Linked DNA regions of Lytechinus pictus. The protein of the gene in region 1 interacts with the protein of each later gene in a pairwise test. Links are inferred from orthologs where the notes say so. Each region holds a gene or a part of one and is shown on either strand. Other genes may lie near its edges. The genes, in order: tax1-binding protein 1 homolog, gamma-aminobutyric acid receptor-associated protein-like 2 and microtubule-associated proteins 1A/1B light chain 3C-like.

The links.
Region 2: the proteins of tax1-binding protein 1 homolog (region 1) and gamma-aminobutyric acid receptor-associated protein-like 2 interact in binary tests that used the Homo sapiens proteins (3 or more experiments, as listed by UniProt). The link is inferred for Lytechinus pictus from reciprocal best matches to the Homo sapiens genes TAX1BP1 and GABARAPL2.
Region 3: the proteins of tax1-binding protein 1 homolog (region 1) and microtubule-associated proteins 1A/1B light chain 3C-like interact in binary tests that used the Homo sapiens proteins (3 or more experiments, as listed by UniProt). The link is inferred for Lytechinus pictus from reciprocal best matches to the Homo sapiens genes TAX1BP1 and MAP1LC3C.

Annotation. Positions count from the first base shown.
Region 1 is NC_087247.1:54,054,612-54,058,448, forward strand, and holds the start of tax1-binding protein 1 homolog, read right to left. Parts: upstream 2,703-3,837; 5' UTR 2,540-2,702; intron 1-2,539.
Region 2 is NC_087246.1:27,482,007-27,485,843, reverse strand, and holds the start of gamma-aminobutyric acid receptor-associated protein-like 2, read right to left. Parts: upstream 2,525-3,837; 5' UTR 2,225-2,524; coding exon 2,191-2,224; intron 1-2,190. UniProt on the Homo sapiens protein: Ubiquitin-like modifier involved in intra-Golgi traffic. Modulates intra-Golgi transport through coupling between NSF activity and SNAREs activation. It first stimulates the ATPase activity of NSF which in turn stimulates the association with GOSR1.
Region 3 is NC_087251.1:17,740,762-17,744,361, reverse strand, and holds the start of microtubule-associated proteins 1A/1B light chain 3C-like, read right to left. Parts: upstream 2,231-3,600; 5' UTR 1,994-2,230; coding exon 1,912-1,993; intron 1-1,911.

The DNA.
Region 1 (3,837 bases):
GGGGACCTTAACGGCCCCCTTAAAAATTTCTATGATAAGTCCATAAATATGACAGGGCCACGCCATAAAGGGGTGTATGCATGGGTACGCGGTTATGATATTAAACAAGTGCATGTCAGACCCCGATTTGCTGAAAAACGTGATTTCATGTATAAAGCCAATATGAATCTGTATCTTTATTTGTACTTTTTGATAATGAATGGAAAATTATTGCCAATAATTTCCATTAAAAAAAAAAAACTGTACATAATATAAAAAAAACATAAAAACCATTTTATACTGACTTTTTTTAAATTTTATATGCATTTGATCAGAATTCCTTAGAATAAAAAATAAGCAGTTCAAGGGCTTTATTTATAGATTCAAACCCAAATTTGTATTTCATGCACTAACAAGAGTGTCGCTAAGGCGAGCACATAATACGCCCGTCTGTTATGCAGAAAATGGAGCTACATGTATTGGTCAAGCAAGAAGAGTGGAAGATGGTGACTTCACCTTTGACCTCCTGACCTCAGAATCAATAGAATTGCTAGTATCATACACACTAAATTATATGAGCCTAGGTTAAGTTCAACTAAAGTTATCGCGGTAACAAGGACTTCAAAAGGGTAAGATGAAAACATGTCACTGTGATCTTGACCTTTTGACCTCAAAATCAATAGGCTTCCTGGGATCGATGCTCGAATACCATACAAACAAAATTATATGAGCCTAGGTTACGTTAATCTCAAGTTATCGCAATTTACAAGGACTTCAGAAGGGCAAGATGAAAATATGTCAGTGTGACCTTGACCTTTTGACCTCAAAATCAATAGGCTTCCTGGGATCCATGCTAGTATCATACACACAAAATTATATGAGCCTAGGTTACGTTAATCTCAAGTTATCGCATTTACAAGGACTTCAGAAGGGCAAGATGAAAATATGTCAGTGTGACCTTGACCTTTTGACCTCAAAATCAATAGGCTTCCTGGGATCCATGCTAGTATCATACACATAAAATTATATGAGCCTAGGTTAAGTTAAACTGAAGTTATCACATTTACAAGGACTGCAGCAGGGTAAGATGAAAACATGTCAGTGTGACCTTGACCTTTTTACCTTAAAATCAATAGGCTTCCTGGGATTCATGCTAGCATCATACACACTAAATTATATGAGCCTAGGTTAAGTTAGACTGAAGTTATTGTGTTTACAAGGAATGCAGAAGGGTTGGATGAAAATATGTCACTGTGACCTTGACCTTTTGACCTCAAAATCAATAGGCTTCCTGGGATCCATGCTAGTATCATACACACAAAATTATATGAACCTAGAATAAGTGAAACTGAAGTTATCGCGTTTACAAGGAAAAGTTAACGGACGGACGGACAAACAGACAGATACATGTATAAAATCTTCGCGCTTGCATTGCCTGTTAGTTGATTTGCATATTTTGTTCAAGGGTCTGAGCACGGACGCGAGCGTCGCGTAATGTTGGGGAAGTACAATAAGAAACAAGATGGCGGCGTAAACATCGGGCAAGTCTCTTCCGTCTTTTCACAATATTTTTTCATTTTTTTTGATGAATTCTTGTTTAAAAATAACAACGAGAGTGTAGAAATGTCGGAAATGAAGTTTTATCCCATGTACATGATTTAGAGCTAGATCTTTTAGAAGGAAAGTAGAAATCTCGGGGGCGAAAGTTTCAGGGTTTTTTGCGGTACACGCAGATGAATAAGGAGGACTCCCTGGCTTCGTATGAGAGTAACCTTACGTTAGTAAATGATTTTTCTCTCTAGAAGCCGCCTGGCTAGTTTAAACAGAAATATCTCTGTCAATATTTGACATCATGAGTTGATTTATGTACCATTCTTTTTCTTATTTCACAAGCTTTCCAATGGTACCAAATTTGTTGGGATTCCTTCAAGATTTCAAAAAGCAACTGTCTCCCCCACTCAAAAAAGCTAGTTTAATATTTTTTTTGACAGAACAAAATCTGCATATTTTCCCCTGTAAATTGGAATATCTCCGTCAATATATCACTATCAGACAATGAGTTAAATGAAGCACCGTTATTTTTCTTATTTCACAAGCTTTCCAATGATATCAAATTTGTTGGGATTCTTCAAGATTTCAAAAAGTCATCGAAGTCGAACTCCCTACTCTCAATTTAAACAGGAATAACCATCGTTTCTAGGGATTTATTTAACAATTTCTGAAATGTTACCGGTAGGCCCTAGGTCTATGTTACTAAAAAGTAAAAAAAAAAAATCCTAAAATCGGATTTCCGCCGAATGTTAGAACTAACATGTCTAACGTTACTGGATACTGCTAAATAGTACGGGCCTCCATCTTCCAAGCTCACTATTTATTTGTGAGTCGAGTGGAGCCAACGCAGTTCAATTCAGCGGAACAACCACCAAACGGGAATATTACAGAGTCAGAGTCTGACTCTGACAATTCAGGTCTGACTCTGACTCTGAGCTCATTCAGACCGTCATTGTCAGGCCTCAACCTCACCAAATCAAATGAACTCACAAAATACAAAACGGCTTACTTTTTTAATCCACGTCTGCATTTCCTACTTCGTGCAATATCGTACTAATTTCCGTAGATGTTCGACGCTTCTGACCGATCTGTATATCTGCTCAACACTTTTGTTGTGAAAATAACATATGACGAAACATGCCCTCTGGGTTGACCTATAGTCTTTATCAAGTCTATTAGGAAAAAAAAGACACAAATAAATAAGTCAATCGTAAATTATGAAATAATTCCACTAATTTCTTCGTCGTCAAATTTAAAGCCTTTTTTTATAGTATTGATTGAATCACAATTACAATTTGCCTAAGTAAGCTGATTTATCTTTAGATCTATAATTTTTCATAAACTTTCCTGTTTATAGACTAGATGTCATACTGAAATGGGGAATTCCAACACTCAACAGCTTGCATGCATAGAGCTGGTTCATGCATGGGTCTATGCGAACATTGTAGGTCCAAGATGCAAATGTCGAAAGTATTATTGCAAAATACAAATTCGGAGAACTTTTTCCTCCGAATCTCTCGTTGACGACACCCAGTGGCGTAGCTAGGATTTTTTTCCGGGGGGGGGGGGGCAACATTTTTTCTGTTTGTGTGTACGTGTGTGTGTACCGTATGTGTCTAGGGCGGATCCGACTTTCGCCAATAGGGGACGGGCCCAAAATTATCTTCACCTATATTTTCCCCGATCAGTCACTTCTTAGCTTTAATTATTTTTATAAAACCAACATAAATATGAAATAATCTCATAAGCCCTTTATAAAAAGTGCGAGCGCGAAGCGCGAGTAATTTTTTGTTAAACTTTCATGTATTTTGTCCTGAAAATTTAGTTCTGGGCAATGTAATTTGTGAACCTGAACAAGATGCGTATGTAACTAGATAATTACTGCGAACGCCAAGCGCGAACTGTTCTAGCATGATCGAAAAGGGACCTGTTATGACTGTTTACAGTAGGCCTATAGCGCGAAGACGGTATATATTTCAACAATGGGAGCACGTAGCGCGAGCTAAAAAAATTGACAAAGGCGACCTCATAAATGGTCATTCTAAGCACCTTTTGTAATCATAAATGGGATAGGTATGTAACTAAACAATTGATGCGAGCGCGAAGCGCGAGAGGGAGAAAATTGAGATTTTAGATCTAAAAGCGCGGGACACTCTATTAATATTATGTAAATCATGAATACATGGTTAATTGGGTATCATTAATAATGTGATCATGAAGCGTGAGCGGACAATTATTGATATTCTGATCTGAAACTGGATAATTTAAGCACATTTTAAATAAAGAACATGCAGGCTATCGCGCATG
Region 2 (3,837 bases), on another chromosome or scaffold:
TAAATCAGTGCACTACCAGACTTCTTCGACTTCAGTTCAGTGAGTTTATTTGCATCTTCTCCTACTTTCACTTATTTTCCCTTTGGCTGATTGATTTGAGTTTGCTTCTTTCAAGTTTGAACATATATATAATTTTCTACCCCTGAACTCACTTATTATTTTGCACCTTACAATATCCCTGATCAATAAATATTTCCTAGTCTGACATGGAATATGTCAATTTTGTTTTGTGACCCCGGTGGTGCCACTGAACCAAGTTAGACTGAGACAGGTTTCCAAATATTGGAGGAAGAGAAGTAGTGAGATCAGCATCACTCACATGTGTTCATTCTAATTACGGAATTTAATTCTCTCTCAGTCTAATGATCATGCTCATGCAAGTTACCCTTCTTAAAGTTCTTTAGTGCAGGTCATCATCTGGTGTATTGTCGTACTGGGTTGTATACAAACCATTTTATCATTCTGTAGACTGTAGTATTACAATTTATTTTCAGCACAACAAAGGCTCGACCGAAAGCTTCAGTCTCTGTATTTTGGTTGTTCCGCTGAACTGCGTTGGCTCACTCACCAATGGGGATGATAGTAAAATGTCAGAAAATTGTTAAATAAATCCCAAGGAACGACGGTTATTCCTGTCTAAACAAAGGCAAGCAAATTAATATTCTCTACAATTGACAAATGAACACACTTACACAGCAATGCACCTCGTAGTATAGTCGTACAGTCATTACTATTAGTCTAACCCAGAGAGCTCCCGCCCGCGTAGCGGGCGGGAGCCCAGAAGCTTACCGTGTATTTTACCATTGTCACCGGACTAGGGTGATTTATGGTCTAAATATTTCTCCAAATGAATTGTGAAAACGGAAAGTATACAATTACCACGATTATATGGATGAAGGTCTAACGAGTGGCAGATTCCTGACATCTGGGCACAGTCTGGAACCTCAAAAAAACGAAAAGTTCTCTCCTTCTACCCAGTCTCGATCGGCCATTTTGTTACGATTTTTAACAAAAATGGCCGATCGAGACGGGGTAGAAGGAGAGAACTTTTCGTTTTTTTGAGGTTCCAGACTGTGCCCAGATGTCAGGAATCTGCCACTCGTTAGACCTTCATCCATATAATCATGGTAATTGTATACTTTCTGTTTTCACAATTCATTTGGAGAAATATTTAGACCATAAATCACCCTAGTCCGGTGACAATGGTAAAATACACGGTAAGCTTCTGGGCTCCCGCCCGCTGTGCGGGCGGGAGCTCTCTGGGTTACTATTAGTCCTGCTATGGCAAATAATGGCTAACTTAATACTATCACTCATAAGATTTGCATTGGTGACCAGTTCCCCCAAAGAACAGAATGGTCCAATTTCCTCCCCAAAACTCCTTGTTTTCCCATTAACACCCCCCCCCTCCACTCACTTATATTACGAGGTTAGTTACTGCCCACCCCGGCCCCCCCCCCCCCCGGGGGGGGGGGGGGCACTCAGTATATAATGCATAGTGGGTACGTGCCGCGGAGGGGACCCCCATTTTTACACTAAAATTTCTGTTCCAAGGCATAGCATATTTGTCTTATTGAGAAAAAGAACAAAGAAAGCCGCTCCAAAGCATAGCATTTTCTTCTTATCGAGAAAAAAAGAAGAAATCCGCTCCAAAGCTTCGCATATTTTCTGTTACGCCGTTCCGGTCGCATTGATCTGCTACGATGAGCCGCAATTTTGGTGAAAAGCGGCCGCAGAGCTGTCCGACCATCGCCTCTGCGCTAGCGCACCCGGCGCCCATGCTGCCGGGCTAGCTGCATGCACGTTCCATAGGCATAGGGATGCATACGCACTCACACGCTGGCGATCCGTTCCAAGGACCCCCGTTTTCACAAACATTTGTAGTTCCGAAGCCCGTTCCGAGGACCCTCCTTTTTACAATTAGCCCGCTCCAAGGCCCCCGTTTTTTGTCTCGCCCGCGGCACACCCCTACCACTTTTTTGGTCGAGTGCCGCCCACCCCCCCCCCCCCCCCCCCCCGGCCCCTGATCTAGCCAAGCAAGGACTCTTTGTCAATTGAATAAATATCAATATCACATTTATAAAAAAAATCATCACAGAATCCTCTTGTTTAGGCTGACCCCTATCCCGCCTCCTCTAGCCTCTCCCCTTTACAAGTTCAATCAATTCCAATTGAATTGAAAATATTCACCTTCCGAATGTTCCTCTTTGAACTCCCACTTCATCTTGTGAAGTTGCGCTTGGCTCCTTTTTTCCAACAGAAAAATGCCCTGTCGCACTCGTAGGTCACACACAGAAATGATCCCGACAAAATGTTCTATAGTTTCACTACCGATAATATGAGAGAAATCATATAAATGTTCTGCTTGTAACAAGTTACTGTTGAGATGATCTCGAATTTCCGATTTTTCTCTACACTACAGAAACAACTCTGCTGCTGCGGTTAACGTTTGTCTGTTGTTTACAATATTCATTGCACAATAACACAGCTGAAGCTCCAATGTATAAATACCGCATCTACTTCCGTGTCAGCATGCATCTCGTGATAACATCATTGTTTATTTCGGCGCGTTTCGTATTCGTGAATATTCATGAGTGGTACCGTACGCTGCCCAATTCTCGCTCACCCTCACAAGCGCGATGCGCACGCTGCTTATTATGATTATCATTTTAAATTCGTCCCAAATTCCTTATTGTTTAGTATACTCGCATAATTAAGCAGCCAAGAGGAGACCATTACATGAAAAAACCAAGTGTGGAAAAATAAAATCAATCCCTTAATAAATCATCGTGAAATACTGCTTTAAATGTAAAGTAACCCGACTGTTTGAACTTCGATCAACTGTACCGCAACTGCACCAAATTACGTTTTTTTTTCAATCACTTTAAAAACTCCTTAAAACAGTGAAAAATGTTATATTCTTATATGATGAATGAAAATGTGAGAGTCGTAGGTGCGGGAGGTCCTGATATGTCGTCATGACAAATTTTTCTAGAATGAATATTTGTTGTGTGAATGAATTAGCGAGGGCATACATTGAGATAGCAGCCTGCCCTAACTCCGCTCACCCTGAATGTGTATGATAATCATTGTAAGAGTATATGGCCTATATAAACGGAATTGTCATAATTTTTCAAGTAGACTTTTCTTTAGAATCTGATTTTTTGTGTCATTTCCTCTATTTTGATGGTGCTGAACATGAATCCGCTTGTTGCCAGTTTCATAAATGCCTCCTTCCGCCGTTGCCATGGCAACTGATTAATATGTTTTAAAAAAATAACATATTGAGCCTATATATATGGCACATTACCCTGTCAATTTAAATGGTCCAATCTATCATTCTTAAGCCTTCCAAATTCAATTTCTAGATATAGGCCTATCAAGTCATCAAAGTATTTGCAAAAGATCCATTGCCATGGTAACGGCTTATCTTTCCCGCAGAAAAATACAATTGTCTTGATTGCCTGCAGAGACAGGGCGCCGCTTTTTCCGACGGCGCCACGCGGGCGGCGTCGTAAACATTGAAATCTTAAAACAGGATAAGTTTGTGAAATGTAATAAGTTTGAAATAGGCCTACAGGTTTTTATAGCTATCATGAAACTTAGAAATAAGGGAGTCAGTGAAAATCCTATAGTGAGTTTCAGGTCATGCCGAGCCACGGTCAAAGGTAATTTAAGGTAAATGAACTTTGGCCAATGACGTTGGGGGCATTTATTGAATTGCCATCATAAATCAATATTATGGTGGGAAAAGATGAATGGTGGAAAATGACAATGAAAATGCCAAAATCTATATAGGTTTGACCAATTCATTTGAATTAAATATCGAAAACAACA
Region 3 (3,600 bases), on another chromosome or scaffold:
GATAGCAGCCCTATAATTTCAAGCATAATTGTTTCATCAAATTCAATTTCAGTGTATGTACAGTGTATGTATTTTTTCAAATTCATGCTCTGTCCTTTCTCTCTTCAACCTTGCAGTAACTCTCAACCATTGACTTGATGCTGAAATCACAAATATTTATATTGTTTGTTAATGGATTATAATGTTGAATTAAAGAATGATTAATTCTTTCTGAATAGGCCTACTTTATAACATCTTCCTGTAAGTTACCATAACTGAAGTGTTTGCACAATGCTTATTAGGAAAGGACACTTTGCTTGTGCGATCATACAGCCGGGTTTATTGCTCTTTAATTAGATAGATTAGCAAAAATTGATTAATAATAAAGCTTAATTATACCTTTAGCTTATTAATGAGTTACAATTAATCTAAACTATGGTACAGAATTGTCATCATTTTAAATTTTCAACATACATGTACATGTACATGAACTCCCCATGGATATTGATACAGTATGAAACTTTCTGAATAAAATCAAACTGCAACTGTAAGGTTTTCACGTATTGAAATTGTGTTTTATAAAATCATTTCAATTGCATTTTTAGAGACAGAATCCTATATAAAATATCTATCCACTTCTACATTCCACACCCAGAATTTCCTGCTAATTGTAAAAGAGGAATTTGTAAATTACATGTTTCCATCATAAGTTTGATATTTAGTTAAATAATACAATAAAATAATAAAATTTACATGTTTTCATAAATATTTCAAATCTTACAGTATTATAAACAAAACTTATCGAAAACATCAGATATTTTACAACCTTCAACTTTTACTCAAATTATTTGAACATTCAAAGTCCAATCATTGTGTCACCTCTTTCTCAAAAAGTGATAAATCCCCCTCCACTTCTCTTACAGTGCTCCTCTTTCTCCTCCTCTTCCTTTCTCCTTCATCCTCTTCCTTCCTCTTCTTCTCCTCCTTCCTCTTATTCTTCTTCTTCCTCTCCTTCTTCTCCTTCTCCTCTCCCCCTCCTCTTTCTTCTTCTCCTCCTCCTTCTCTTTATCCTCCTCCTTCTTCTTTTCCTCCTTCTCCTTCTACCCCTCTTTCTTCTTCTTTTTTTTTCTTCTCCTTCTTTCTTCTCTCATCCTTTTTTGTTCCTGCTCTTGTTCTCTACTTTTTTCTTCACTTGGAACTGAATTTGGTTTCCTTAGTTGCTAAAGAAAAGGATTGTCTTTCCTCCTTCTAGATGGGTATTTTAATGAAATGAGGGAGGCGGATACAGTATAATGGGGGGGGGGGGGGGCTCCAATACAAAGTCATGTCACATAAACTCCATCACTGTTTCGGAATATGGAACTATTTATCTCTCTTTCTCACTGTTATACTACCATTTCTGAAGCAGGTTCTGACTTCTGAACAAAAAGTAATAGTACTATTAAATTAAGTTCCATAAATTTGTATGAAAGAAATAAATTGTCTCATGATCAGTAGGCCTATACCAATACAGTAGTTGGCTAGTTGCCAAGATGCATCATTTATTAACATCATCAAAATGTTGTTCACATCAAACTTTCATAATACACCATCATAAATTTCTTGTTTGTGGTGTATTAAACTGAATCTAAATAAACAAATCAATCATAATAACAAGGTCAAGAATAAATAATATTAAACAAAAAGGTTAGTATTTAACAATGAGGCGTTTTATATCTTCATAATTCAAACAGACAATATAACGTCCCATCATTTAAGTGGTAATTGAGATAAACCTTTTCCATTAAATAATAACATTCGGAAAAAAAACTGGGTATACCTATCTCATTCAGACAAAGAACATCGAACAATCACCACGGCATACAAGTATGCTAAGTACTACGTGACTGTACATCGCACAGTAATGCACAGCCGCATATGAATTCTACTTACTAAACGTTTTGCGTTGCTTGAAAGATTTGTATACTTTTTCATCCTTCTCTTCAGCTTCGATTGTCTTCTTGTCTGTTCCCATCGTGGCAGTACACCTCTAAAAATCCACGGGGAACGTTAGCAGCGATTTGCAAGATAAGGTTGAAATTTTAAATATTAGCTCCAATAAAATCCAGACTGTCAGGCGGTGAAACAGTTCCTCAGCAAGCTAAAGTAAACAAAATTCACGAACGCGCTCCCAGTTTACGGTACGTGTGCAAGGTTCTGTGTTCTGTCTGTATGCAGACAAGCGTGGGCCAGCTGATCTTTGTTTGGGAGTGACGTCACTCTGCTTTTAATCATCGTGGCAGAAGGGGGGGGGGGGTCTTGGGTATATTGATGCCAAAACAAGAATAAAATTAGAGGGGGAATAGTGTAAAAATCAAGGTATATGTAATGTATTCAAGTCCACCCCGAAAGAAAAAAGTTGACCTATATAGATCCAGATGAAAGTCAAACAAGCGACATATGCTAATAATTTTATTAAAATCGGATGTAAAGTAAAATTTTTTAAGTTTCGGTTATTTTTTACAAATGTATTTTTCACATTTATATTCACAACTCAGTGATAAGCAAATGAGAGAGTCAATGATGTCACTCTCTTATGTTTTTATTGTAATACAATATTTTAATTTCTGTATATATAGATTTGACAATAAGGGCACTGATTGAAACACAAAATGTTAAATAAAATAATGGTAATTCTACAGGTTCAGGGAGGAATAAAACTGATTCACATGAAAACCAGGCATGAAAATAAAGAGAAAATTTTAGTAATATCAAATTTCATAAAATAGAATAAAAATAATAAATGAAATATTGAGTGGATGATGTCATCAATCCCTTCGTTTACGTACTAACCAGGATGTGCATTCAACTGTTTTGTGAACATTTAGAATATCAAAACAGTCGATTTTGATGAAATTTTCAGTGTTATTCTTGTTCAATTTTATCTCTTTATTCAAATTAAATTTTTGTTAGGGTGGATTTGCCAAGTAATATACTCGAATGGCGCCACTATATTAACTCTATTAAAAAAAGAAACTAAACCCTAAACTAACACATGTCCTTCACAGGCATGTTTAAGTGATTGGCTCAATCGCAAAGAAGCTACGAAGTTAACATCAAAATTAAAAATGACTGGAACAATCTCACAGCCACACACAGGTCCTCGGGAGATGTCCTGCAAAGCGGCGTCCCCTCCCCTGGATCCGCCTATGACCCCCCGCCCCCCGGGAGTTTGTCAAGAATTGGATATAAAAGTCGCGTTTAGAAAGCATTTAAAAACAAAATTCTTCGAAAATAGTCAAAATTCACAGTGAAGGATGAAAACAAATATTTAAGAAAACTATTTATTTCATTATACGCAAGCAATAAAAAATATCCTTACATTGCATGTAAACTAAGAATTAAGGGAAAATAAAAGGGTTTACCCTTTAACTTGCCCCGTCAGGTGCAATTATTTTTCTTTCATTTTTTTCAGTTATGAAATTGAAAATTTTATACAAGAATATGCTTCATAATTTATTTTCCCTTCAAAATAATCGATTACTTTTTTTTTCTTTTAGTGGGTACATGGGGGGATGCTTGCTTTGCCCTCAATACTTTATTTTGGGGTGAGAGAAAGTGCCCCCTCTGACACCCCCTCCC